Sus scrofa: one gene and its partners. The protein of the gene in region 5 interacts with the protein of the main gene of each other region in a biochemical or structural test. Links are inferred from orthologs where the notes say so. Each region holds a gene or a part of one and is shown on either strand. Other genes may lie near its edges.

Region 1 (4,139 bases), on a different chromosome or scaffold from region 5:
CCAAGACTTTGTGATGCCCTTTTATTTCCACTCATCTCCACAGCCCAAGACAATCCAGGCCTATCTCGGTCAGCTGTGCCTGGAGAAGGCCTGCCTGGCATTATTTGCTTTTATCTGTTCCCTTCGTAAGACTCAGACTGCAAGGAGCAGGCAGTTATTCAACAGATAATTGCTTATTCAATTGTTAAACACATCTATATTCTCTTTAAATAAATTGACATATAAAACACTTAAAGCATTAGCAGTGCTGGCGCTGTTACAGGCACTCTCCGTAAGCACTCAGTGATTATGGATACTTTCACTATTATCCACTAGGGTCTTTTTGTAGGCTGAGAGCTTCTCCTAAACATCCTTTTTTTTTAGTTCCAGTCAAAGAAAAGTGCCAGGTGCACAGTAGGCACTCAACGAAAATTTCTTTATCAATGTGAAAACTGAAATATACTTAAAAACTTTAAATCTTTCACAGCCCTGAATAAATTGTTGATATGGGACAGACAACAGAACCAAAGAGATCCAGGAGGATGCTTGAGGATGCTTGAGAGCCCAGTCATGATGAACCAAAGATCTAAGGTTCGATCAGTGCCTCCATCTATTAGCCACAGACATTGAACAAACTACTCAATCTCTCTAAGCCTCAGTCTCCTCATCTGTAAAATGGGAAAACGGTGATGCCTAAGTCACATGTGACTCTGAGGATGAACAAAACGATGCATGTAAAATGCTAAACATGGTGTCTAAACCTTCAATAAATATTCCCTGTTATCACCGCTCTCCGCAGAACTCAAGACTAAGGCAACAGCCAACTGTCAACCCTCACCAGTACCTTGAAATCACATTCATGTTTTAAGCACCTTTTGTGGAAACTGAAACAGAACACTCCTCTAGCAATTATTTCCACACACAGCTTCATAGGTGACTGGTACAGGTCACCTCCCAGCCATTGTCTGAATTTCTTTGCAGCTGCTTCCCCTGGAAAATGACACAACACGACTGGTACCTCACTTGTGTCCCAGTGAAGACAATCACCCTAAAAGGCTCCAAGAGAAGAAGCCCACAGGACCTCCACCTCTCACCTCCAGCATCTGGGGAAGGAGAGGGCTCTGCTGGGCACTGAAGTACTCCACTGACAACTGATACACGACTGCTAGGAAGCTGGAGCCTTGATCCTGTATTGAAGAAACTTTGGTTTCCTCAGAGGGATTAAGTAACCTGCCCTAAACCACACAGCTAATAGAAGACAGAAGTGAATTATGAACCTAGACAGTGGCTGGCTATCCTAGATGAAAGTCTGGCTGTGGACCCTGAAGGAGGAAACAGTCTGTAAGCAAACAAACCTTAGGGCCATGCCCTTAGCCAGCCCAGGAGTTCAAGGGAGAAAGCTTGGGAATGACTCACTAGACTCACCCACAAATAATTTTACTGCCCCACAAAAGCCAAAGGTGAATACAACGGCGAAGAGCTGCAGCCTGAGAGTCCTGCCTTCTTCCACTTCCTCAAAGAATCTTCCAGCGCCCTGCACCAGGCACAGTGATGAGGGGATGACAGGAGCTTACACACCCTGACAGCACTGCTCTGCGCCCCAACCCCCTCACTCCATCCTCGCAGCAGCCGCCACCCCGGGCCCACCACTATCCCCATTACACAGACGGGCACAGAGAGGGCCAAGGCCTCACAGCAGAGAAACAGAGTGGGGGGGAGGGGGGGACTGAACCCACGGCTGCCCCACAAGGGAGCTCTCACTGTTAGCCAGCCCAGGCCCTTCCCACCCTTCCAAATCCATCCCCCCTTCTCTGCCAAATCCCGAAGAGCACCGGTGACCCAAGCCCGGCGACTAGGAGGGAAGGGAGGGACAAGCTGAGCAAGCAAGTGATGTTGGGGGCGGGCAGAGCTCTCTCCCTCAAGTTCAGTGGAGCCGTCGGGGCCGCCCAGTCCCTGGGGATCGAATCCCACCGACGGCGCTCGGGGTGGCAGGAGCGAGGGCAGCCGGACGGCCAGGGAGAACGCGGGCGAAAGGAGGGCAGGGCGGAAGCGCGGCGGCCGAAGTTACCGTTCCCACGGCGTCCAGAACTGGTGCTGTCTCAGTCCCTCCGCCCCGAGGGTCTGCGGCCGCTCCAACGAAAGCGAAAGTAAAGCCGCAACGCGGCCAGGGGAGGAGTCGCCCCGGGCAGGACGCCGACCCGGCGGGCGGGGCTGCGGGCCCCGCCTCCGACTCGGGACCCCGCGCTTCTCAGAGTCGGCCGCGCGCGGGACCACCGCGCCGCCGCGCCCCGTCGGGGAGGGCGCGCTCTCACGGTCGCGCGCGTCGTCGCGGAGGGCGCCCTCGGCAGGCAAAGCTGGTCGCGCGCACCGGACGCGTCCTGGGCAAAGTTTGCAGAGATCCACAGGGGTCCCGGAGCTGCGCGCGCAATCTCCAGGAGAAAGTTCTGCAGCGTCCACTGCGCTCCAAGTGACCTGAAGGGCGCGCTCCGCAGACCCGGCGCACGCAGCGTCCCAGTCGGGCGGACTGAAGAGTGCGCCCTGCCGACTTCGCGGCGCTTGATAATGGGGCGCTGGTCAGAGTCCACCTTCCTGCCCTCCCGCTGCCTCCGGTCTACACCGCGACTTCGGCCTCCGCACCGGCCCTGGGACCTGTTCCAAAGGCCCAACGGCTCCTCCTCAGCCAAATCCTGACCCTGATCGTCTATGCGGGGGACTGGGTGCCCGCATCTTCCTGAGTTACCGTCTCCCTAGGGCCAGCCGAGGGAGCCGCCGTGGTCTCCTGCCGCTCAGAACTTGCTTCCATTCGCTGACGCGCCTTCCTCACGCGTGGGCGGCAGGAACTAACAGTTTTCTGCAGAGCACGTCCACACCTCTTAACAGAGCCTGCTGGCCGGGACGTAGCGCCAGAATCATTCATGGACTATTTATTGAGCGCCCTCATGTGTCAGCCACTGGGTACTTGGCCATGAGTTAGTCTAAAACGGGAGAGAGTCTAATATGGTACTTTCACTCGTGCCACCTAACCCCCAGCCTTGCATCCCCAGGTCCCCCAACACCCATGCATGCTCCCACTTTTGTCTTTATTCAACCTGGGACCTCCAGCTGAGGCCTCCAAGGCCTTGCTCTCCAAGATTCCTCGGGGGAGCAGCTTATGCATGCAGTTACACTGAAGTGTAAATAGCTAAGGAGACCTGACAGTTTTATTCATACCAGAGATGTTTGCTTTGAAAGAACTATCAACGCCTTCAGTGAAAGGAACGAACCTTCTTCGTCGTGCATCATTAGGCAAGAACGCATCTCGTCTTTTTGTTTGCTGTCCCCTGGGCCTGAGACTTCAATATCGTCCATAATATCTTACCAGGTAAGGACGCTTCCTTGATTTAAGGAAGACTGGCCGCAGGCAAGTGTAAGGGAGTGATTATAATTTATTACCTTCTGCCAGAATCCTGAATTCCTGAATATTTCAAACAGGCAGTTACACTATTTCCACTATGGATGTGCTATAGGTTGTTTGGGCCACCTACCTCCCTGCCAAATTCCTATGTTGAAACTAAATCTCCAAAATGATGGCATTAGGAGGTGGGGGCCTTTGGGAGGTGCTTAAATCAGGAAGGTGGAGCCCTGGTGAGTGGGATTAGTGCCTTGATAAAAGAGGCCAGGCTGAGCATCCTGGCCTTTTCTATCATGTGAGGACATAGAAATTGCAGTCGGCTACCCCAACGTGGGCTCTGACTAGAACCCAACCATGCTGGCACCCTGATCTTAGCCTTCTGGCCTCCAGAACTGTGAAGAATACGTTTCTGGTGTTTATAAGCTATTCAGTTTCTGTCTTTTGTTATAGCAGCCAGAACAGACTAAGACAGGCTGCGCTACTCTTTTCTTTAACAGCCATGTTTCTGAAATGTCAAGGCGAGCCAAGTCATGGTAGACACAGAGTTAATTTTCTTTTTGAAGGAATTCAGTGGTGAATCATTTGAGAAATGGAATAAAAAGCCTATTAGTAGGGCAAATAGGTTACCCTATGATTTATCGCATTTATGAATTCAAGTTTTGCAGGTTATTCGTGAAATAAGATGAAACACGGTGTTAGATATGGGAGCCACCTTCACAACTAATCCCTCTGCTGGTATTATAGATACAGAATCTGAGGCTCAGAGAGG
Region 2 (4,094 bases), on a different chromosome or scaffold from region 5:
GTTGTGGGTTTGATCTCTGGCCTCGCTCAGTGGGTTAAGGACCTGACGTTGCCATGAGCTGTGGTGTAGGTCGCAAACGCGGCTCAGATCTGGTGTCGTGTGGCTGTGGTGTAGGCCGGCAGCTGTAGCTTCGATTAGACCCCTAGCCTGGGAACCTCCATATTTCCCGGAAGCGGCCCTAAAAAAGACAAAAGACAAAAAAAAAAAAAAAAAAAGATACTTGGACAAACGCGTTCATCCCAGCCTTGTGTCTGAAAATAGAGACACTGGTTATATATAAAGTAAGGTATATGTGCCTAATGGAACCAAGAGGAAGCCGTGATGACAAATGTTTTAACAGGGACTCAGTAGCATTTCCCAATTTCGCCTAAGTCATGTTCATTACGTATATAAAGATGCAACTAGGAGTTCCCGTCGTGGCGCAGTGGTTAACGAATCCGACTAGGAACCATGAGGTTGCGGGTTCGGTCCCTGCCCTTGCTCAGTGGGTTAACGATCCGGCGTTGCCCTGAGCTGTGGTGTAGGTTGCAGACTCGGCTCGGATCCCGCGTTGCTGTGGCTCTGGCGTAGGCCGGCGGCTACAGCTCCGATTCGACCCCTAGCCTGAGAACCTCCATATGCCGCGGGAGTGGCCCAAGAAATAGCAAAATGACAAAAAACAAAACAAAACAAAAAGATGCAACTAGATTGAAATACGCCAAAATATTTGCACTTTAATGGTCCGCTAACAGAGCATTATGTCCAGAACTTTGGTGCAAAGCATTAAAACCTAGCAAACAGTCAACACATTACAAACAGTGAATTACAAATAATCAGAATATGCCTAAGAGGAACAAAGTTCAACACATTTTTGGCTGAATGAACATTGGTTATCTCCGAATACGGTGCCGGCGACGCTCTTCGTTACAGTTTTCAATTCCGAATTTTCTAGAAGGACCTTGCCAACATCCCCTAAGTTGGAAGTGTCACTAAAAAGGGGGGCTCCCATGCCCCTCATGCCCTCGGACGGTCTCGGGCGCGAGTCGATGTGGGGGAAGCCGAGACCCCTCCCGCGGCGGAACCCCTCCCGCGGCGGAACCCAGGCGGGGAGGGCGGGGCCCGGACCGCGTTCCAGGCGCACCAAGATGGCGGCCGGCGCGCCCCGCGTTCGGAGCCGAGCGCTCCCGAGCGTTCCCGAAGCCGACAGGAACCTCGGGAGCCGCGCGGGTGGGATCGGCCCCGCCCCGGAGTCTGGGAGCGGCGGCGCCGGGCGGGGGAGGGGAGGCCGGATGTGAGTGGAGCGGCCATTTCCTGTTTCTCTGCAGTTTTCCCCAGCTTTGGGTGGTGGCTGCTGCTGGGCTCCCGCTTCCCGTCGGCGGAGGGCGAGGCGGCGTGGACCGCGGCCCCGGCACCCCGCGCCCTGCCGCCCGCAGCCGCGCGCCCGCCCGCCCGCCGCGCCCCGAGCTCCGAGCTCCTCGCCTCAGTGCCCGGCCGCCGCCGCCGCCGCGGCCCAGCGAGCGGCCCAGATGCAGGCCATCAAGTGTGTGGTGGTGGGAGACGGGTGAGTGCGCGGGCCTGGCCGGGGCCGGGGGCCGGGGGCCGGGGGGCCGGGGGGCCGGGGGCGGGCGGGCGCCGCGGGCTCGCGCGGGGCCTGGCCGGGCCTCTCCGGGGCGGGGGTCGCGGGCCGCCCCCTCTCGGGACCCGGCGGCGCGCGCGCCTGGTTCCGGCTTTTTTTGGGTGGGGGAGGGAGGGAATCGGCGAGCGGCGGCTGGAGGGAAAACTGAACTCCACCCTCCCGCTTTCTCGCAGGCCGGCTGACCGCCCGGCCGAACCCGCCCAGCGCCTCGCCGCCACCCTCCCTCCGTGGCCCGTAGATTGGGTGGGTTTAGGGAGTTGCCTTTCTTGGTGTTTCCATGAAGCTCTCGAGCCGCAGGGAGAACCTCGGTGGGTCCCTGCGGTCCCAGGTCGGTCGTGTTGGAGGACTGTGTACACGGGCTGCTTTGGGGACCCTAGGCGGATCTGCTGGGGGGTGCCTTCCGCCTGTACTTTGCCACTTTTCTGATTTTCTTAAGTGATGCTGTTTGCTATTAAGGTGGAGAAACTTTGCAGATTTCTAGCTGCGAGGAGCTGGGTGCGATTAAGACTGTTCTTTTCTCTGAACGTGGTGTAGTCAAAAAGAAAAAAAAGAAAAGAAAAAGCTGGCTCTGCGTTCGCTCCTGCGTTGGGTATGGCATGTAGCAGAACTGGCTCCTGGGCCGAGCTGTCCTGTGACTCAAGGCATTTCTTTTCATTACAGCCTGTGGTGGTTACAGGCCCTAGAGGAAGACAAGACTTGTCTTATGCAGTTTTTTTTTTTTTCTCCTCTGGAAACAAGAATCTCAGTGTAATCCGAGCAAAATTGTGTGTCTCAGCCTTGCTCAAGTAGAGGAGCCTTCTAACAAGGAAGCTCCAAGAATTACTGCCAGTTTTCAGCAAACTCCGAATGCAACTGGTACATATTTCGAGTCTTGTCGAGTAGAAGGAAGAGTTCTGGCTTCACTATACCCCAAAGTCGTCGTTAGGACTGGTGCTGCTTTTATGCCTCTTGGTGAATGTGTGCGTTTTTTGTTTTATTTAGATCATTGCCAATAAAACGTTTGAAATTGTTCCTATAACTAATTCCGATCCATGAAGGACAGTTAGAGAACTGATTTTTTTTTTTTTTTAAAGATGCTCTCTGTATGATTTGTCAGGCTTACAGATGTGAAGCTTGGTAGTTCTAGCTTTATCAGTAGAAATTGTAAGTTTCCCCTACCTAGGAACCTGTATGGAACTTTTTTTTTTAACCCTTTGAAAGAAAGCTTTAATGGAGGAGGTGTTAACTGGGGGAATGGTGAAATTAGTAAATTTGTTTAAATGAAATTTTGATCCTTTTGCTACTGAATTAAACATGTCCCTTTGTCTTGGCATTTTAAATTGTCTGGATTTCCTTTAAAAACTAAAAATGCTGCATCAGCAATGTTTAGAACTTGAAATAATACTATTTTTTAAGAAAGTCAGATTGCTAATAATGTTTTATCTAATTCTAGGATGTAATATTCTTATCTGAAAATTTGTAAAACTGAAACATAAGCCCAGCAGATAGATTCAGTTTGCTTGATCTCACAGATGGACTCTCCTGTTCTGTTGGCTTGTTTACGTAGTCAAATACCTGTTGAATGCCTGCTGTGGCGTCTGGATCTTTACTTGAAATCCCCACCTCACCACTTAGAGGGAGACCCTGAGCAAATCTCTCATCCTTCAAGAGAGGTGCCTCAGGAGGAAATTGTGAGGCTTGAGTAAAATGCTGGTTATTAAGTGCCTCACAGGTGCCTGGCCCTTACTGAGTGCTTATGAGTGTCAGCTGCCAGTATTGTTCTTATTCTGTTTCTGTTACTCTTTGGCACTGCTAGGCTCTGTGAAGGGCATATTGAGCATAAAACATAGTGGCTGAGCACTGTCAGTCATTTCTGTTGTTGTTTGGTTGGTTTTTTTTTTTTTTTTTTTCCTTCTTGCCTTTTCTAGGGCCACTCCCACAGCATATGGAGGTTCCCAGGCTAGGGGTCGAATCAGAACTGTGACCCCCAGCCTACACCACAGCCACGCCAGATCCAAGCCGTGTCTGCGACCTACCCCTCAGCTCACAGCAATGCCGGATCCTTAACCCACTGAGCAAGGCCAGGGATCGAACCCACAACCTCATGGTTCCTAGTTGGATTCGTTAACCACAGAGCTACGACGGGAACTCCAATGGAAGTTCTCAGGCTAGGGGTCAAATTGGAACTACAGCTGCCAGTCTACATCACAGCCATGGCAACACCACAGCCACGGCAACACCAGATCCCTGACCCATGTCCCAGGCCAGGGATTGAACCTGCATCCTCATGGATACTAGTCAGATTCGTTTCCGCTGTGCCACAATGGGAACTCCAAAATAAATAAAAATATTATTAGGAGGAGTTCCCTGGTGGCTCAGTGGGTTAAGGATCTGGCATCCCTGCTGTGGTGTGGGTTTGATCCCTGGTCTGGGAACTTCAGCCTACCATAGGCTCAATCAAAAAAATTTTTTGGGGGGGATTCTTTAATTAAAAGCCGTT
Region 3 (4,199 bases), on a different chromosome or scaffold from region 5:
CCTGGAAGAAGTGATATTTATACTGTGGCCTAGGGATCTCATTCTTTATTATTATTATTATTATTTTTAGTACTAAATCTTATTTTTTTATTACTCAATGAATTTATCACATCCGTAAGGGATCTCATTCTTGATTGCATCTTAGCTACCTTTTATTGTTTGTTTCACTTTTGGCCACCCTGAGGCATATGGAGTTCCAGGCCAGGAATCAGATCTGAGCCACAGTTGCAACCTACACCACAGCTGTGGTAAGTCCGATCCTTTAATCCACTGTGCCAGGCTGGGAATAGAATCTACATCCTGGCACTACAGAGATGACACCGATCCCATTGTGCCACAGAGGAAACTCCAGCTACTTTTTTTTTGATGGGCCCATCCCCACCAGATGGCAGGCAAGTTCATAGAAATTATCAAGCCTTTCACATATCTGCCCTCAGCGCTGGCACAAAGCCTGGCACAGAGGAGAGGACAATATAACTCAAATCAGCTGAACTGAGCAATGAGAAGTGGCTGATGGGGAGGTCCTGTGGCCTCTGGTTGCTCAGCACACTCACCTCCTCCCTTTGTAAAATCTAACATGGAATTACCTTAATAGTTGAAATCTGTGTCATATGTAAACATTTGTTACCTCAGTTTCCCTCCAGCCCCTTTCACTAAACTGTTAGATCCTTAGGGCCAGGAGTCAAGAAGGGGGCACAGAGCAGACTCTCAAAACATTTGTTGGGGTTCCCAAAGTGGCTCAGCGGAAATGAATCCGACTAGGAACCATGAGGTTGTGGGTTCGATCCCTGGCCTTGCTCAGTGGGTTAAGGATCCAGCGTTGTGGTGAGCAGTGATGTAGGTGGCAGACAGGTCTCAGATCTGATGTTGCTGTGGCTGTGGCCTTGGCTGGCAGCTACAGCTCTGATTTGACCCCCAGCCTGGGAACCTTCCAGGGGGTACCCTAAAAAGCAAAAAAAAAAAAAAAAAAAAAAAAAAAAGGTTTGTTGAATGAACGAAGGAATCAGTTCAAGCAGAAGCTGTGCTTTGGTTGTTGAAGCGATTCCAGCTACAGGAGGCTTTGGAGAAAAGCCCCAAGCTGTACTGGGTCAGACATTCCTCTCCATTTTCTGGCAACTCCTTCTGCTTGTGCTCTGGGTGGAAGGGATAAGGTGGGCGCAGGATTTGAAAGTAAATGGCATTGGTGGGGCAAGTTGAGGAAAGATGTGGCTGGGGTTTTGTAGGTGGGCTTGAGATCCTGGAAAAGAGAAACTGCGTTTGCAGTTTCTAGAGTTATGGCCTGAGGGTGTTGGAGCACCCACAGGTGGGGGTTCTGGGAGGTCACGTGGGGTCTGTGGATAGCGATCTGTGCACAACACACGTTCTGTTGTAAAAGCCTCCACTAAAGGGTATCAACAGGATGGGGTGCGTCGAAGAGGGGGTGGGGCCACCACTCCCCACACAGGGCCGTCCCCTCTAGGGGCGGGGAGTGCGAACGCGCCTGGCACCGCCCCGACAAAGCCTGCGCGCGCCCCATCCTGCGATTGGCGGTGCTTCCTCGCGCCGCCGCCCCGTCCCGCCCTCCGCCGCCGGTCCGGCGCGCTGCAACCAATGGGCGCCGTCGCCGTCGCCTCCGTCACAGCCAGGACAGCCAATAGGCGCAGCGCTCGGCGGCTCGTGGCTCTTTCGCGGCAAAAAGGATTTGGCGCGTAAAAGTGGCCGGGACTTTGCAGGCAGCGGCGGCCGGGGGCGGAGCGGGATCCGGAGCGGGATCGAGCCCTCGCCTCGGCCTGCTGCCATGGGCCCGCGCCGCCGCCGCCGACTGCCACCCGGGCCGCGCGGGCCGTGAGCGCCATGGCCGTGGCCCCCGCGGGCGGCCCATGCGCGCCGGCGCTGGAGGCCCTGCTCGGGGCCGGCGCGCTGCGGCTGCTCGACTCCTCGCAGATCGTCATCATCTCCACCGCGCAGGACGCCAGCGCCCCAGCGGCCCCCGCCGGCCCCGCCGCGCCCGCCACCGGCCCCCGCGACCCCGACCTGCTGCTCTTCGCCACGCCGCAGGCGCCCCGGCCCACCCCCAGCGCGCCGCGCCCCGCGCTCGGCCGCCCGCCGGTACGGACACCAGGGACACTGGGCCAAGTGCGCTGCCTGGACCCCGGCGTAGACCCGGGCGGGGCGCTATGTTTGGCCTGGAGGCGGCGAGGGCGGGGGAGGGTGGGTTGAGGCGCCCAGGCTGGGCGGTGCCGAGCTTGGGTTGGGCCTTCGGGCTCCGCCCCGGGGTGCAGGGTGACCTCGGGCCAGTCCTTGTTTGCTCCTCTGTGCTCTGGGCCTCAGCTTCTTCGCTGGAGCCTGTCTAGGGTCAGACTCAATGATAATAATGGCCCACGTGTATTCAGCTGTTGCTGACTGCCTGCCAGGCCTCTGGCAGACTTCAAGGCAGCTAAAACTCACATCCATGCTGTGAGCTAGCTCTGTGTTGTCACTGTGCCCATCTGAACTGTGCCCAGAGAGGGGAAGTGGCTTGCCCCCTGGTCACAAGGCTGCAAGTGGGATTTGAACTGAGGCCTGCTGGCTTCAGACCAGAACTTGTGGCTGGATGGTGGGCACGGCTGCTTGGGGAAGTCAGGGGAAAGTTCTGGGACCAGAAAGTTGAAGGGCCATTGAGGAGACCCTCCTTCCTGCCTGGATGCTGGACTGCCAGGTGCAGGCCTAGCCCTCCGGGCCTCTGGGGACAGGCCGCCTGGCTGGGAGGCCTTCTCTGCAGGGGCGGGGTGGCTGGGCCAGCTGCTGATTCCCCTCCCTCTGCCTGTCCTTCCATCTGCCACCCTCCACCCTCCCAGACTCTGGTTGCCATGGAAGCTCATTAATCAGGCAGGCAGACCCCTGGCCCCAGTGGAAGTACTGGGTGGGCTGGGCCTCTGGGAGCTGGAGAGGAGGCCCCCAGTGCTAGAAAAGAGTAAATGCCCCAGGGAGATGCCTTGATAAAGTGCTCCCTGAGCAGCAAGAGGCTTAAGACCAATTCAGATTGGGGGGGGGCTCAGAAGAGACCGCTGAGTTACAGGGGGAGAAGGGGGTGGAGGCCTGGAGCTTGGACCTGTGGGCCGCAGGACAGGGTGTGGAGACCAGTTTGACTGGCGCAGCCTGTGGGTAAGGGTAGGGCATGGATGGGCAGGCAGGGGCCAGCCAAGCAGTATGGGGTCTCAGCACAGGGCTTGGAGCAAGTGGGAGGGGAGAGGCAAAGCCCAGGGCAAGGAAGTAGTATCTGCCCAATTACTGTTGGGGGACTGGGTGGCAGCTGGTCCCTGAGGCATCCCACCAAGGTTCCCCCAGTCCCCCTGGCCCCTTGCCCAGTGTGGCCTTCCTTCCGGAATCACTAAGATGCTAATAATAACAATAGCAGCCACCATTATTTTGAGACTGTTTTGTGTGTTAGGCCCTGTGCCAAGCACTTTACCCAATTAACTCATTTAACCCTCTCAACAACTTTCCCCTTTTCCAGGTCGGGAAGCTGAGGCCTAGAGAGGTTAGAACCTTCCCTAGTTACTCAGCTAGTGAGTTGTGAGACCAGTCCAGATTTCCTGAGTGGTTAACCACTAGGATGCCTCGCTTCCTGGAGATGCTAATAGAGGTTGATGAAAGCACAGGACCCCTTCCTCCTAATGAGTGAGGGGGATGGAAATTGTACCGGGGTGGGTCGCTTGGCTGGTCTCCTGCACCTCAGCAACCTGTTACTGCAAGTACCAGCTTGGGGCCTGGACAGGTAGCTTCCATTTAGCTAATTGATAGTACTTGGCTGTGGGGCCTGCCCTCGGCAGTCTGAGCTCTAGGTTCAGAGGGACAGCCAGAGACTGGGCCAAAGACATGCCCTGTGCTCCACTCCTTATGGTGCCGGGGGCAGCCTCAGTGGGCCTGAGCATTCCCTTCATTCAGCACTTGTTGGTGAGTGCCTATGAGGTACTAGGCAGAGGCAGGTAAGGAGCCTCTGCCCCTCAGTGCTTAAGGGCTAGTAGACATTTTTCGCCGTGGGCAGGGGTGGGGGCTGGTGCTGTCTTGGAGCTGAAGTTGAGAAACATGGGCCCAGGTTTTGCCTTGAACATTGTACCTTTCGGTAGCCACTGGCCACCTGAGCTCTGGCCTCCACTGACCCTCGGCACTGGCATTTGTTTGGGGCAGCCCATGAAACAAGCTACAGACTCAGCTTCTGCACAGGTGAGCATTCACCG
Region 4 (3,500 bases), on a different chromosome or scaffold from region 5:
AGAAATTTTTGCTTTTTAAATAAATAATTTAAATTATATATTTTCAAATACTTGAATAACACTTAATAATATTATTACTTTCTTTGGTCATTGTTTTTAAGTTACTGTATTGTTTTCACTTAGAGTTATTGTAGTTATATTTTCTTTTTTTTTTTTAATCCTTGTGTCAACTCTATAAATCTGTTAGGGAAAGAGTATCATCTCCACTTTGTATATAAAATAACTGATATTCAAGGAAGTAGTCACATAACACCCTGCATAGCTGAGAGTAGAATGGCCAGTCTAAGAGTAGAATAAGATTTAGCTTAATAAGATTTAATTTAAATTAAGTTAATATAATAAGATTTTTCATAAAGAAATTTCTGAAAACAAAGATCACCATTTAGAATGCCTTGTTTTCTTTGAGTTTCCTACATTTTTTTAGTTCTTTGAACTGACTGTTCTAATTCAGGTTTTCATAAATAGCATCTCTTACATCTTGAGTAATAAAACTGAATCAAAACTGTCTTTCCTTAATATTCCATTTCGTTTCTTTTAGTTCATAGATAATTTAATTGTCATTAACGGACTGTTTAAGAAAAATTATGTTAGTAATTAACAACATTACTTAATCAGGAATTCCCTTGTGGTTCAGTAGGTTAAGGATGCGGTGTTGTCACTGCCACGGCTTGGGTTGCTGCTGGGGCATGGGTTTGAGCCCTAGCCCAGGAACTTCTGTGTGCCACGGGCACAACCAAAAAGAAAAAAAAAAAAAACAATATTGCATGATCAAAAATATTTCAGTAAATTTAAAAGCACAGAAAAAACTTATATAACAGAGGTGGATCCAAAGATGAGTTTTGAAGTTTCATATGAAAATATATGTAACAAATGTTAATTGGACTCTGTATGAAAAGTACTATGCTAGATAGATTATATACACAGACGAATAGTAGTCTTTCCTCCTAAAACTTCGTAGACCTGTAATGGAGCAGACAGTCATTAAGCATGGATGATGAAGGACTGGGTGTGAATCCCACCAATGTCTAAAGTTCTCTAGAGCAGTTGCCATTATATTGGTTTGGGGAAGAAAAGAAGACTGACGGGTTTGTTTTTAAATCACTCAGTAGTGATGACTACTAATCCAAGCCTAGCTTAAGAGAGTAAATCACTAACCAATTTTACATTGATGGTACTAAATTGTTTGGTACTAAACAATTTTAGTACCAAAATTATAGCATTTAAATAAATAATTCTGCTTTAAAAAGCTACTATTTATTGAATGTTTCAAAGTAATGTTACTTCTCATCTTCTTTACAATAATACTGCAGAACAGGTATTATCTCCAGTTTACAAATAAGTAAACTAAGATTAAATCTTATGCCCAGAATCAAACAGATATCCTGGGATTCTAAGCCAGATCTGATTGACCCCTATCATTCCTTTAGGGTACTCTTCCTCCTTCACTTATTCCAGCCCTCAATTTCTTATCTACAAAATGAAAATAATAATAGACAATAGTGAATGCTTATAGCTATGGATAGATAGACACACAAATTGAAATTTATTAAGCACATAATTTGAACCAGATACTTTTATATTCATTATCTCACTTAATCTCTAGATTGATCCTGCATGTAGATATTATTGTTTTAAAAGATGAATTTTCTCAAGGTAATCAGTTAATATGAGATAGAATTCAGAGCCTGTGTCTTTAAAGTTATTTCCCCTATTCTACATTATCTCTGCTATAAATTATATACTATATTCTTAACTGATGGAGATTTTCTTTCCTTTGATTTTTTTGTATAAACATATAAAATATGTTAAATAGACTGCATTTCACTCATATAATTTACTAATCACTTCTAATTCAAGTAATATATGTATTATTTATTCCAGTTGCAAAGTGCTTCCAGTACTGTTCACTTATGTGACAAGAAGAAAACAGAGTTATATCCGAACACATCTGTAAATCATGGTTCACAAGAGGTAAAAAAAAATATGTTGATTAACTCAAAATGTGAGAAAAATATGAAAAATCAGTCTATCTTGCTCTTTTATAAATGGGAAGCTAAAGTCCAGGAAGATTTTAGGATTTGTTAGGTAGCCCATGGCAATCTCCAATTTGAAAGCCAGCTCCCCTAATTCTCAGTTCTTGGTTCATTTCATCAAATCACAGTCCTTGTTTCCTTCATAGGCATTGTTTTATGTAATGAACAGTGTTCCAGTGTAGTTCATAGGCAAATCATCAACACAGTTCTGCCACTATATTTATACTTTCTTATCCAAATGTAAAAAAGCTATAATACTAGTTCTTAACCTCTTACAATGATTAATAAAAGGAAAATACCATTTGTGTGGCTATCCAAAAAGAAAGATTTCTTTAGTAGCACTCATTCAGAATTATTTCACAGTAATCATATCTTTTAAGAATATATATGTTGGAGTTCCCGTCGTGGCTCAGTGGTTAACGAATCCAACTAGGAACCATGAGGTTGCGGGTTCGATCCCTAGCCTTGCTCAGTGGGTTAAGAATCCAGCGTTGCTGTGAGCTGTGGTGAAGGTTGCAGACGCGGCTCAGATCCTGCATTGCTGTGGCTGTGGCGTAGGCCGACGGCTACGGCTCTGATTAGACCCCTAGCCTGGGAATCTCCACATGCCGTGAGAGTGGCCCAAGAAATGGCAAAAAAAAAAAAAAGAATATATATGTTCTCTTTACAGATTCAGTAAAGTAATGATACCTTTAAAATGAACCTTAAAACTCAGTATAGTATTTGAATCACCTTTATATACACTCTCTCATTGGATCTTTGAGCCCATACATGCACATTTTGGGGTAAATATTACAAGAAAAGAACCTGAGAGCCATATTGTTTAAATGTCTTGCCAACACTTAGCAGTAATCCTATGACAGAGCTAGGATTAGGGCCAAGTTTTACATTACTTTTTCTATGGGTTCTCATTCTTCCATGTTGAAGGAACCTGAGGTATTGAGAATAGGCATTTGCTCTAAATTACTAGGTAATCAGAGTTGCAGATCTCAAATTTTTCATCAGCTGGACATAGTATTAATATTTTGTACATAATCTCAGCTCTTCTGGAATTATGTACAAAATACTGAAAAACTCATATTTTAATATATTTAATTATTTCCCCATCCCCCAATTTGACCTGATTTAAAAAATCAAGTTCATTTTTGTTATTTTATATATGTGTTTAATTTTGTAAGGTATAATTTGTGTTAGTTTTGATTCTTTGTTTGTAATAAGCCAAAAGCAAGAATAATTTTTTAAATGATTTTTCATTAACCTAAATCATTTATCTATTATTTACTTTAGGAATCATGTGGATCTTCGCAGCTTCATAAACCTAGTAATTCTCCAGGAACCTCAAAGTCCCTGTCAGCTACTCAAGACAGTGACTTTTTATCTAGTATGTAAATTTTTCAGCCAATATTAATGGCAGGTTTTCCGTTTTCTTTCAAAATCATATTTTGACAAGCAGTCTTTGTTTGTATG
Region 5 (3,500 bases):
TCCAGTCACCACAAAGACAACACCAGATACTTAACCTGCTGCACCACAGCAGGAACTCCTCTGCTGGCTTTTTAACCCTAACTTTGGCATACTAGTATCCAGAGCTAGTCTATAAGCTCCTTGAAAGTAAGCACCACGAGTGTTTGGCACAGGTGCTCATTCTCAATTCTTATTTGTTGAAGGACCTGTTCCAAAAGACCTGTTTGGGACTCTGAGGCTTAACACAATCTGGATGAATACCAAAATCAGCTCTCTACTATCTTTGGGTTTGGTGCTTCTCATCGAACCCTGGGATTTCATCCTGGGTTCTATTTTTTTGTGTAAGTATCACTAAGCAAGGATTACAGTCAAATACCATTTTAAGAATATGATTTGAAGGAACTTAAGACATGAACCCAACTTTAAAATCTTGCTTTTTCAAAATAGTTTATATCTGCTATATTTGAGGAAGAAATGCAATATCACTAAAGAAAGAAGTTATGCTAAAATCTTCTGATGAACATAAATCAAGGATCTTCTTGGAAACTAAACATTCAGAAAAAAATTATAGTCAGTGGTTCTCAACTAGGGTAATACACTGCCCACGGTGGAAAAGGGGATGTGAAATTTGGAAACAACTGGTGGCTGCCAACAGCAGTCAGTGGCTAGATGGGGATGGCACTCTCCTGCATCATCTGAGACAGTCCTATGAGCCCCACTGAGAAAGAATGCAGGTGACCACCATTCCCAAGTACCTGAGGCTGTTTCTTCAGTTTGTCTTTCATTCTCTTCTTCTCTTTTTTCATCTTCAGCATTAAGAAGTGCTGACACAATATCATTAACTGTTTTATAATTCTCTCCAGTTGTTAGGATTTTACTCTGAATTGTCCGCTTTATCAGGCTTCTACTGAAGCCCATTTCCAAGGCAGCTTTAACCACAGGTGTATTCATCATGACTACATCATTTGAAGAATTTTCTCCAGGCCCAAAATGAACAACTATTTTAAAAGACATATTTGTGTAAATTCCATGAATATAGAAATACACAGAACTATAATGACTATGACACAATCTTCACTGCTGGTTATATCCTGGTAAAGTAAATTAGGCTATATGTAACAATCTACAACTCCAACAAAAGTTTGAACCTGATAAGGATCAAATGAGAGTGTAGTAACAGGCTATACTTTTGAGATACTACTTTCCATGCTACGTCCTACACCTAGTTAATTAGAAACTCTAGAGATGGAGCATTGGAATCTTCTAAAAATTCCCCAAACAATTCTAATGTACAGCTATTTTTGAAAACTGAGATGCTACACAAATTTAGAGGTGAGAAATTATCTCAATTCAGCTAGAAAAGTGGGGAACTGACAAAAGACTTCACGGAAAAGGTGGCATTAGAGTCTGGATTTGAAGGATGGACAGGCTCTAGAGAGGTGGATAAATGAGGCAGAGAGAATAAAGCAAACAAAGATGGGAAGAACAGTAAAATGGGAGACTAGTTCACACAAAATACATCTAAAAATGTGGTAAAAATGTGATTAACGAAGTAGCATGATTTCAGATATTGACAGATATTCTGAAGAAAATAAAGCAATGCTAAGGGTGTTAAGGTTATTAAAACAAACTAGGAAATAGGACTACAATTTACATAGAGTGATTAGGGAAGCATTTTCTAATGACAGGGTCAATGTTAGCTAACACAGCACTTCTGTGAAAATTACGAAAAGACATCACTCTTCAAGACACTTTACTGCCATCTGCTGGAAAAGTGTTTTATAATAAATATAAACATAACATGTATTTGCTCCTTTGATCAAACATACGTGAAAAGCCTGTCTGAAGAGAACCCCAGGACAAAACATTTGAATGATAAGGAGTGAGCTATGGGAATACTGAAAGACATCTTCCAGGCAAAGAGAACACAAGTGTGAACGCTTCAAGTCAGGAAAAAGGCTTGAGCTTGACATAGCTTGACATAGTCAAGAAAAAGCTTGACATAGGCAAGAAATCGAAATATGGTAGAAAGTCAGAGAAGAAGGTGATTCAGCCTTTCAAGGAGTTTACATTTTGTACAGCCTTTCGAGGAGTTTATATTTTGCTAGAATGTTCTACGAGGGTTTTAAGCAGAAGACTGATGAAATCTGATCTGTTTTTTCAAAAAAGAATGACTGTGGCAACTCTGTGATAAATTTTAGTGAGGTAAAACGGAATCAGGGAGACCTATTAGGATTTTATGACAGGTGATGGCAGCTCAGATCATGTAGACAGTGGTGGAGATAGAAAGAAGTGGTAAGATCTGGGACATATTATGAAAGCTGAAATGAAAGGACTTCTAATAGGTTAAATATACATAGTCAAAGGAGGAATCGGAGATGATGCCTAACTTAGGCCAACTTTTGACCTTAGCAAGTGGATGCCTTTAACTGAGTTGGGAAGACCAGAGAAAAAGCAAATATAAGGGATGAAGGACAGGAAGAAAATGTCTGCTTTGGTCACATTAACCTGAGACACCCGTTATAACCAAGTAGAGATTTAAACAGGTAGTTGGACCTGCCAGTCTGGAGCTCAGGAAATGCAGAAATCTGGGCTGAACACTGAGATATACTCCATTATTTAGAGATTTGAAAAAGGAGTAACCACCAAGGAAAATTATTCATGATCAACCAGGGCAATAGGAGAACCAAGAATGTGGTGTCTGGAAAGCCAAGTGAAGAAGATACCTTAAGAGGGATGAGAGTAATGACAGCAAGACTGTCAGTTATGCTGTTTCCCACTTGTATCCCACTCAACAACAATTTGGAATCTATCCACAGATACAAGGGCCTTTGTGCGAGGCTTTGGGATTCAGATGTAGGATTATGAAGCCACAGTATATTGCAAGACCAATGAAAGCCATTTTGAGAAGACTGGCCTGTACCAAGGAGATGAAATCCCCGACTGTGGTCCCAGCCACAGACCAGAAACAGCTCCATATCCATCAGGACTGAAAGAAGAAGGTCTTTACCTGCCAAAACCAGTCAATAAAGACTGGAAGAGGTGTCTGCACAGACACCAAGGCAAAACTACATGTATCACACAAATCAGGTACATATGACACCATCAAAGGAAACAAATCCAAAAGTGACCCCAAAGAAATGAAATCTATGATTTGTCTGACAATGAACTCAATCAAATCACCTTAAAGAAACGAAAAAAAATTCAAGAGAACAAAATAAACTAAATGAAATGAAGATAACAAAGCATGAACAAAACCAGAAATTTAATTAAGAAAGAGAAAACATAAAAAAGAATCAAACATAAAACCTGGAGCTGAAGAATATACGGACAGAACTGAAAAATTCAATAGAGAGCTTCAACAACAGACTTAATGATACAGAAGAAAGAAATCAGATAACTCAGAGATCTGAAATCAGCCAGTTACAGGAACAACAAAAAAAAAGATAATGAAAAAGAGGAAAGAAAACCTACATGAATTATGAGACACCACCAAGCAAATAAACATTCATATGATGGGA
Region 6 (3,500 bases), on a different chromosome or scaffold from region 5:
GTGCCAAGGCCAGATCCTTAACCCGCTGTGCCACCTGGGGCAGCATTTTTTATTTCGCTGTCCAGCACAGCCCTTTTTGCAGGCTGCGTTTCATCGCTGCTGCTCATTCTCTCATCCACTGAACATTTCCTGAGCCCCCTGGTGGGCGCTGGGAACAAGAAACCCCCGCTTGCTGAAGCTTGTGGGCTGCCTGGGAAGGTCCCCCAGGCACAGGCAGTGACGGGAGTGCAGTGATGCGATGTGGGCTGCGTCTCTGGGGTGGGGAGGAGCCCCTTAGCCCCCCTCCCCCGAACACTTAGCCCCTCCCCAGATACATTTAGCCCCTGTTCCCCCACCCCCACAGGTACACTCAGCCCCCCCCCCCAAGGTACACTTAGCCCGTGTCCCTCCTGCCCCCCAGGTACACGTAGCCCCTCCCCCAGGTATACTTAGCTCCCCCGCAGGTACACATAGCCCGTGTTCCTCTCCCCCCAGGTACAACGAGTCCCTGCTGGAGGAGGGCAGGATGATGCACAGGCTGCGACACAGCCGTGTGGTGAGGCTGCTGGGCGTCGTCATGGAGGAAGGGGACTACTCGCTGGTGATAGAGTACATGGCGAAGGGCGACCTCATGCGGGTGCTCAAGGCCCAGGTACCGCCGCTGCCCGCTGCCTGCTGCCCTGGGCCCCGGGTGAACTGCTGCGCGTTTGCCTTTCTTGAGGTCGGCCCCTCTGGTCTTCCTCGGCTTCCCTGGCCGGAAGGTGGTCTCCCCCTGCCCTCGACCCTCCCCCGCCCCTCGGCCCTGCAGACAGGCGGCGTCCTCACTGGGAAGGTCCCTCGGGGTCGCGGCGTCCTAGGCGTCGCGGTGGCTTTTGTCAGCTGCTCTCAGATCCATGTGGCCTGATGGGGGGTTTGTACATAAGGGATCACACCCCAGTACTGAAGGACTGGTTAAATGATGACACCAGAAATGACCGTGTGACAGGGTGGGACATCAGGGACTGCACTCTGATGCCACTGAAGAAACGTCCAAGTTAAACGTATAAAACCTTAGAACTATAACGCTGCGCGCGGAAGGCTGACATTGATCACCGAAGCCCAATAACTTGAAAGCCCTTGTTCAAGTTCGTGCACCTGTTAGGAGCACGGCCCTGTGCTGGCTGCTCAGGAAGCACCAGCGGATGCGCCCAGACGAGTAACGGGGCCGGACCGTAGGCCACCGGCCTGGGTGCGGGTGTTCAGAGAGGCGAGCTCTGGGGACACAGGGACAGACGGGGTAGGTGGCAAGGGTTCCAGAAGAGAGGAGGCCTGAGCCGGAGTCTGAGGCGGTGGTGTGAGGCAGAGAATCGAGGAGTGAGTGTCCCGAGCAGAGAGCGAAGGGCGGGAGCCAAGGGCCGCGAGCGCGCCCAGAGCGCGCCCAGCGTGGGAGCCTGCGGGGGGTGTGGCCGTCCTTGCGGCGCGGAGCCCCTCCCACCTTCTCCCCCGCCCCCAGCCGCGGAAGCTGCGGCTGGGAGGTCAGACGGCTCCCGCGGGTAGCGGGGGAGGCTCAGCCGAAGTCGCTTCCACACGCTGTGTTTGCTCTGACCGCTCTTCTCCCCAAACTGGAGAAGAGGCGCGAGGCAGGCAGGCGTTTTGATGGGGGCAGATCGTCCGGGACCGAGACCCTCTGCGCCTTCCGGCAAAGGGAAGGCGTCCGGCAGAAACCCAGGAGGGTGCGGGAGCAGCAGAGAGGGAAAGGCACAGGGTCCCCCTGCACGCCCGGAGTGTCCCCGAGGTCCAAAGGTGCCTCAGAACAGGGGTCTCCAGCGTCGTGTGCACGCGGTGGCCGCCAGGCTGTCCCGCTGCAGCACCACTTAGCGACGTTTTGAGGGGCTGACGTGGGAATCTGACTTCTGACGTTTCAGTTTTTTCCTCTTTACCAACAACCAACATTCACAAATTTTTAGAAAACTGTGTGTTTGTAGACTAAGGACTGTACACACGCTCACACACGCACGCACCCAGTGAGAGTTTGCGTTTTCACTGTTAAGCAAGACTAATGTGTGACTGCTTTTACTAGTAGCTGGAGTTGTCTGTGTTCACACTGGTATTCGTATAGTTAAGACTGTGCCACGTGCACAGGTGAGAGTGACCTGAGAGTCTACAACGCCGTGAACGCTCTGGTTCCAGGCCCCACAGCGACAGCCACCCGCTTGAGCGTTGTCACCACCACATCGTGTCACCTCATGGGTGACCCTTTATGTGCTTTTAACCAGCGTGGGCCCGTCCCCTTGTGTGCGTGTCCTCGGACCCTTCTGTGTCACACGTGTCCGCGCCATGGTCGTATTTAACCCAGAGGAGCGCCTGGCACGCGCGTGCTCACCCGCAGACTCCCCGGCGCCGTGCATGGGGGTCAGGTCGCATCCTAAGTGGTGACGATAAGAACAGCACGGTCTGGACCTCAAGGGGCTTCATCCTCCGGCACTTTTGCACATGGCCTGTGGCGGCGCAGCTGGCTCTGGACCCTGATGGATCACGGCCCGGACGCCGCGGCCCTCGGGAGGACACCTTTCGGAAGGGGCACTCCGTCCCCTGGAAGGAGCGGGGCTCTGGCCGCGTGGCCTCCCCCCTCACGGTCTCCCGTCGCTCGTTCTAGACCCCCGTCCCTCTGTCTGTGAAGGGGAGGATAGTCATGGAGACCATCGAAGGCATGCGCTACCTGCACGGCGAGGGCGTCATCCACAAGGACCTCAAGCCCGAGAACATCCTCGTTGACGACGACTTTCACATCAAGGTAAACCTCAGCCAGGGCTCCCGCCGCCCGGGAGCGGCCCTTCCATTCGCCCCGCGTCGCGGGCTCGGGCTTGGTAGACGCCCGCGGAAGGAAGAGCCAGCCCAGCTTGTGCCTGGTGGTAGTGGTGCCAGACAGCCCTGCCAGGGAGTGGAAAGACAGATACAGCCTTGGTGGAGCTTACAGCTTTTGTTTATTCATTCGCACTCCTCTCCCTTTTTTTATTTTTATTTAAAAAATTTTTTTAATGGCCTCGCCTCCAGCACATGGAGGTTCCCAAACTCTAGGGGTCGAATGGGAGCTGCAGCTGCTGGCCTGCACCAAAGCCACAGCCACGCCAGATCCTCAACCCACTGAGCGAGACCAGGGATCAAACCCACGTCCTCATGGATGCTAGTTGGGTTCTTAACCTGCTGAGCCACAGCGGGAACTCACCTTTCTCTCCTTTTTAAAATCAGGTTCCTTTTGAACATTTGTTTCCATTGTAGTGGAGAGAAAATGGGAACAGGGCTTTTCTTGCTCCCTGGAGAGCAGGGTTAACCAGCAGGGATTGAGTGCAGGCCCCTGAACGCGAAGTGGCATTTGCGAGAGGACTCAGGGTCTGCCTGCACGGCGTCCCGTTGCCAGGAGAGTCTGCCTCTGACACGCTGCTGTCGTCTGATGGGAGTTTTTATTCCCGTGTTTCTACAAGAAGATTCTGGGTGTTGATAACGTACCTCTTCTATTCTGGGCTGGAATTTGAGGATTTTGG
Region 7 (4,111 bases), on a different chromosome or scaffold from region 5:
TTTTATAGAGCACTTTCAACATATTAGGTATTGTGGCATGTTATATGTATATCAGTTAATTTTTACAATAACATATCTAGAGATTTTGACATGAGGAAACTGAGGCTTAGAGAGTTTAATTGACTACACAACCACACAGTGGGTACGAATCAGAGCTGGGATCCCATTCCAGGAGAGGATCTGTCTACAAAGCCCTCCCTCCAGCCAAGCTTCGTGGGCTCCCACCCAGTTCATGGTAGAGATCAGAGACTGGAACTCCAGGCCACTCTGACTCTTGAGAAGGGGAGCTAGTGACAAAAAAGCCAAAGCCAGAGGAGTAAAAACCCCAACTACCCTAGTGCTCTGGTAGGCGGTAAGTATTTTAAAAAGCAAAAGGTAGCCAGCAATGAAATAGGTCAAAAACGTCATGGAGGAAAAGGAGCGAACTCGATTTGGGAAGTAGAAGCTCAAGTGCGACTCTGGTGAGAAGCGAGTTCTGCTGGTGCTGAAAGCAGAAGCCAAGTTTTATTGAGCACACACGTTCATAAGAATTGAGTGAGTGAGGAGCGCGAGGAGACTATGGGGACAGAGCAGGTACTACTGGTCTGTCAACGGAAAGGAAGGAGGATGAAACTCAGAATTGGGAGTTCCAAGAAGAAGCAAACATGGTGGGATTAGCATCAGATAGAAGGGGCGACTTTTGAAATAGGAATTAAGGAGGTAAGGTGTCTTAACTGGTATAAGTCTGTGCATATGTGAGAAATTGACGCAATTCAAGTATTTGAGAAGAGGGTAAAATCTGTAAACGTAAAAAAAAGCAAGATGAGCTACAGCACGTCAGAAATTCTTGTACATGTTTTTCAAGCTAATTTGTTATCCTCATTTTACAGAATGGGGACTCCACTTCAGTACCTTGCTCAAAATCCAACTGCAGAGACCTACTCAACCCGGGGTAGTTCTGAGATCAGCCTGCGGGTCTAGGTCATCTGTGAGCAACGCACCCCCGCCCCGGGCGGCGGCCAGGAAGAGCCGGAACTACACTTCCCAAAGTGCCCGGCGGGATGGGGCGGGGCGGGGCGGGGCGGACACAGCCTCCTTCCCAGAAGCAAAAGCGGAAACAAAAGAGTCTCACCGGCGTCCCCGCCCGCATACTGGCGCTGGGGCGCACTCGGAACGGGCAGCGGCTCCCGGAGCGAGCGAGAGAGCAGCAAGCCGGGACCCTCCCGGCTGAGCCAGCCGAATAGCCAGCGAACCGAGTCCGCAACGATCCCACGCCTCCGAGCCCCGAAGCCGTCCCCCACCGGCCAGTGTCCCCGCTGTCCTCCCTGACCCATGGCGCTGAAGCGGATTCAGAAAGTGAGTGCCGGGGCCCGGTCTGGGGCGGGGGCTTCAGCCCCCTGCCCACGCTGAGCCCGGCGGTGGTCTGAGAGTTGTGCCTGGAGGGAACGTGAAAGAAGGATGGGCCGGGGCGGGAACCAGGGGCCAGGGATGCTGGCGGGGCCAGCGGGCACCCGACAGGTGAGGTGGGAGCAGCGGCAGGTCCCGGGCGCTGGAGGTGCTGGGAGGCAGGGGGCCCGCCGTGCGCTCTCTCAGGACCTGCGCCCGGAGCCCCGGCCGGAGATCGTTTCGGTCTCCAGACCTTCCCGAAATCTGTGCTTCTCGGTCGCGCCTGAATTTTGTCCTATACCGGGCGAGTTTTGGCCCTTGTCATGCTGCTTTCTTCAAGCTGTTTCTTAAGCCGGTTCTCTTTTATGTTCTTGTCTCCCTGGACTCCCGGGGAGGGCAAGGAAGGTGTGGTGGGCCTGCAGCCTTCCTCCGCGGAGCCCTTGGATTTGTTCTTTCTCTCCTCTGAGGTTGGCTCTTGCTCAGATGCCCGAATGGGCTGGAAAAGCCTGTTTGGGGCCGAGAAGCCTCCTGCCCCTTCTATTTTGGTCCCTCTGCTGCTGCCACTTCAGGTCACATAGCTGTAGTGAAAACATAGTTGCTGATACACAGCAAGATGACCTCCTGGCTGTGATTCATGGCAAGTCAAGCCAAGCAGGTTTTTTTTACCCCTCATGATAAACTTAGGTGTAAAGTTTGAGACACAACAGAAACTGCCACAAATTTAATTGTTTGATGTTTTGACACATGGGTATAGAATGAGGAAGAAATGTGTACGTTCATTAAAGAAATGTTTGTCTATCCCAAACGCAGTGTAAGGTATTGTCTTCTCTTGCATAGTATCTATTGCTACTGTCTCTACATGAACATCTTACAAAATTGGGTTGGGGCATTTTCTTTCTGTTCACTTTTACTTCTTGTTAGGTGATTTGGTCTGTTCACTGACACAAGTTTTAGGTTTTATTGGTATGTTTCATGTGGAGAACATTGAGAATTTGTTATTTTAATGGGAGTTAGGTTCAGCAAGTTAAGCCAACAATGGACAGTATGTTTTGTAAAGGATTTCAGAAGAAATCCTACCGAAAAAATTTATCAACCTTTTCAGGCATGAATCAAAAGAACAGTGATAGAGATGTTTTCTTAGTCACCATTGGTGGCATCTTCTGGTACAGAGGACAGCAACTTTCTAGAACCAGCCAATTTTGGGGGGGGAGAGTCAAATACTAAATCTGTGGAATATTGTTAATTTTTGTACTTTTTAAAGTTCCTCTCGCTATAAAGCCCATAGCTAATGATCAGCATTTATTGATTAGTATGTTTTCTGGTTTGAAGATAATGCAGTTACACATTTTTTTTTAATAGATAATTCTAATCTGAAGCCTCACTCAGCATCTTTGCCATGCCTTGTGTACTTATTAATGATGATGTAATATTGGCTCTCATTTGAAGTAAACCACACACATTTTTCCAAGTAAGTCTTAAAAATTACATTTTCTTCTTCTCTAGTTGTGAGAATTTTTTACAAAGCTTTACACATATAATAGCTTTTAAGTAGTGTAGAATTTGTCCACAGTAGACAAAGGAAATTGTCATTATTTGTAAATATACTGGGCAACTATCAATCACCATGCTGAGCCAGTATATTTGATTTGTATTTATAATATGGCATATACCCAAATCATATTTTCAGCTCTTAGTTTGTAACAGAGTTGTCTGGTTAAGAAAATATTCTTACGTAGAATTGATGTCAGATCTGTAACAAATTGATAGTTTGGGGAGGAGATTTGGGGTCACATAACATCCCATCTCTATGTGTCAGTCTTTGGCTTTCCTTCTCTGTTGTCAGAAAAGTTGACTTGCATAAATCTCTCTTCCATGTTCAAACAATTCCCTCAAACTTTAGAAGGTATTTGTTTTGATTCCCCACTTTTCCTCTTGCCTTACCTACCCCCTTGATTAAAAAAGAATTCCAGAGAATGTGTGCTGTTTGCCATATGAACACTTACAAAGCCCTATTTGATAGCATCATTATACAGATTCTCTTTGAATTTTGCATGCTTCAACAAAAGAAAATGCATAGTAATGTTTGGCCTTTCTTTTTAAGTGTATTAAAGGAATACTGTCAGTTGCCTTCCAGGTCCTCTGGGTTGTTATTTTCCTGTACCTGCAGTGGCAGCCTATAGAACTGCAGAACCTCAAAGAACTCTGCAGTAGCAGAGTGGAGTGGAGAGAAGGGGAACAGCTTCTAGGGTAGTGTATCAGAATCACCTCTGAGAGATGTATTGCAGGCTGTCCCCACTGCTGTCCATGACTGCTGTCAGTTGTAGAATCCCTCAGATGGGCTGGGGTGGAAAGAAGGCTGAGAACCACTGACATTCTAGTCTAGTCTCCTTGTTAGTCAGAGGAGTCTGAGGTTTGGAGTGGAGTGCTTTGTCCAAGTTAATCTCTTAAGAAGTGATTTGGCATATTTGAGAATGTTAAAAAGTTCATGATTTCACATTTCTTCACTTCATATGAAAAGATTAAGGATGGTTGAATTAAAATTGTATGAATATACAAAGCATGTGGAGATGAGTGCTTAAAATATATTTTTATGCTAGAGTACGGTAAATGATTTAATACTCTAATTTAGACATCCAGTGCCAGTTTTTACATTTCAGCTCATAAATTTACACACTCATGCCCTATTTTTAGATACAGTGGAAGATGTTATCATAGTCACCTAAATCACTAAAGGGAAGAAATTTGA

The links.
Region 1: the proteins of baculoviral IAP repeat-containing protein 2 (region 5) and CASP7 form a complex in vitro, tested with the Homo sapiens proteins (2 studies listed by BioGRID, with this or other methods). The link is inferred for Sus scrofa from reciprocal best matches to the Homo sapiens genes BIRC2 and CASP7.
Region 2: the proteins of baculoviral IAP repeat-containing protein 2 (region 5) and RAC1 form a complex in vitro, tested with the Homo sapiens proteins (2 studies listed by BioGRID and IntAct, with this or other methods). The link is inferred for Sus scrofa from reciprocal best matches to the Homo sapiens genes BIRC2 and RAC1.
Region 3: the proteins of baculoviral IAP repeat-containing protein 2 (region 5) and E2F1 form a complex in vitro, tested with the Homo sapiens proteins (2 studies listed by BioGRID, with this or other methods). The link is inferred for Sus scrofa from reciprocal best matches to the Homo sapiens genes BIRC2 and E2F1.
Region 4: the proteins of baculoviral IAP repeat-containing protein 2 (region 5) and RIPK2 form a complex in vitro, tested with the Homo sapiens proteins (4 studies listed by BioGRID, with this or other methods). The link is inferred for Sus scrofa from reciprocal best matches to the Homo sapiens genes BIRC2 and RIPK2.
Region 6: of the proteins of baculoviral IAP repeat-containing protein 2 (region 5) and RIPK1, one has a biochemical effect on the other in vitro, tested with the Homo sapiens proteins (6 studies listed by BioGRID, with this or other methods). The link is inferred for Sus scrofa from reciprocal best matches to the Homo sapiens genes BIRC2 and RIPK1.
Region 7: the proteins of baculoviral IAP repeat-containing protein 2 (region 5) and UBE2D1 form a complex in vitro, tested with the Homo sapiens proteins (11 studies listed by BioGRID). The link is inferred for Sus scrofa from reciprocal best matches to the Homo sapiens genes BIRC2 and UBE2D1.

The regions. Positions count from the first base shown.
Region 1 is NC_010456.5:124,016,531-124,020,669, reverse strand, and holds the start of CASP7 (caspase-7), read right to left. Parts: upstream 2,801-4,139; 5' UTR 2,783-2,800; coding exon of another isoform or gene 2,777-2,782; exon of another isoform or gene 1,405-2,776; intron 1-1,404. UniProt on the Homo sapiens protein: Thiol protease involved in different programmed cell death processes, such as apoptosis, pyroptosis or granzyme-mediated programmed cell death, by proteolytically cleaving target proteins.
Region 2 is NC_010445.4:4,800,711-4,804,804, reverse strand, and holds the start of RAC1 (ras-related C3 botulinum toxin substrate 3), read left to right. Parts: upstream 1-1,294; 5' UTR 1,295-1,505; coding exon 1,506-1,540; intron 1,541-4,094. UniProt on the Homo sapiens protein: Plasma membrane-associated small GTPase which cycles between active GTP-bound and inactive GDP-bound states.
Region 3 is NC_010459.5:37,187,319-37,191,517, reverse strand, and holds the start of E2F1 (transcription factor E2F1), read left to right. Parts: upstream 1-1,399; coding exon 1,400-1,404; intron 1,405-1,459; coding exon 1,460-1,571; intron 1,572-1,695; coding exon 1,696-2,088; intron 2,089-4,199. UniProt on the Homo sapiens protein: Transcription activator that binds DNA cooperatively with DP proteins through the E2 recognition site, 5'-TTTC[CG]CGC-3' found in the promoter region of a number of genes whose products are involved in cell cycle regulation or in DNA replication.
Region 4 is NC_010446.5:47,030,134-47,033,633, reverse strand, and holds part of RIPK2 (receptor-interacting serine/threonine-protein kinase 2), read left to right. Parts: intron 1-1,881; coding exon 1,882-1,971; intron 1,972-3,320; coding exon 3,321-3,414; intron 3,415-3,500.
Region 5 is NC_010451.4:33,055,107-33,058,606, reverse strand, and holds part of baculoviral IAP repeat-containing protein 2, read right to left. Parts: intron 978-3,500; coding exon 735-977; intron 1-734. UniProt on the Homo sapiens protein: Multi-functional protein which regulates not only caspases and apoptosis, but also modulates inflammatory signaling and immunity, mitogenic kinase signaling, and cell proliferation, as well as cell invasion and metastasis.
Region 6 is NC_010449.5:1,858,143-1,861,642, forward strand, and holds part of RIPK1 (receptor-interacting serine/threonine-protein kinase 1), read left to right. Parts: intron 1-474; coding exon 475-631; intron 632-2,614; coding exon 2,615-2,752; intron 2,753-3,500. UniProt on the Homo sapiens protein: Serine-threonine kinase which is a key regulator of TNF-mediated apoptosis, necroptosis and inflammatory pathways.
Region 7 is NC_010456.5:92,327,414-92,331,524, reverse strand, and holds the start of UBE2D1 (UB2D1), read left to right. Parts: upstream 1-1,311; coding exon 1,312-1,335; intron 1,336-4,111.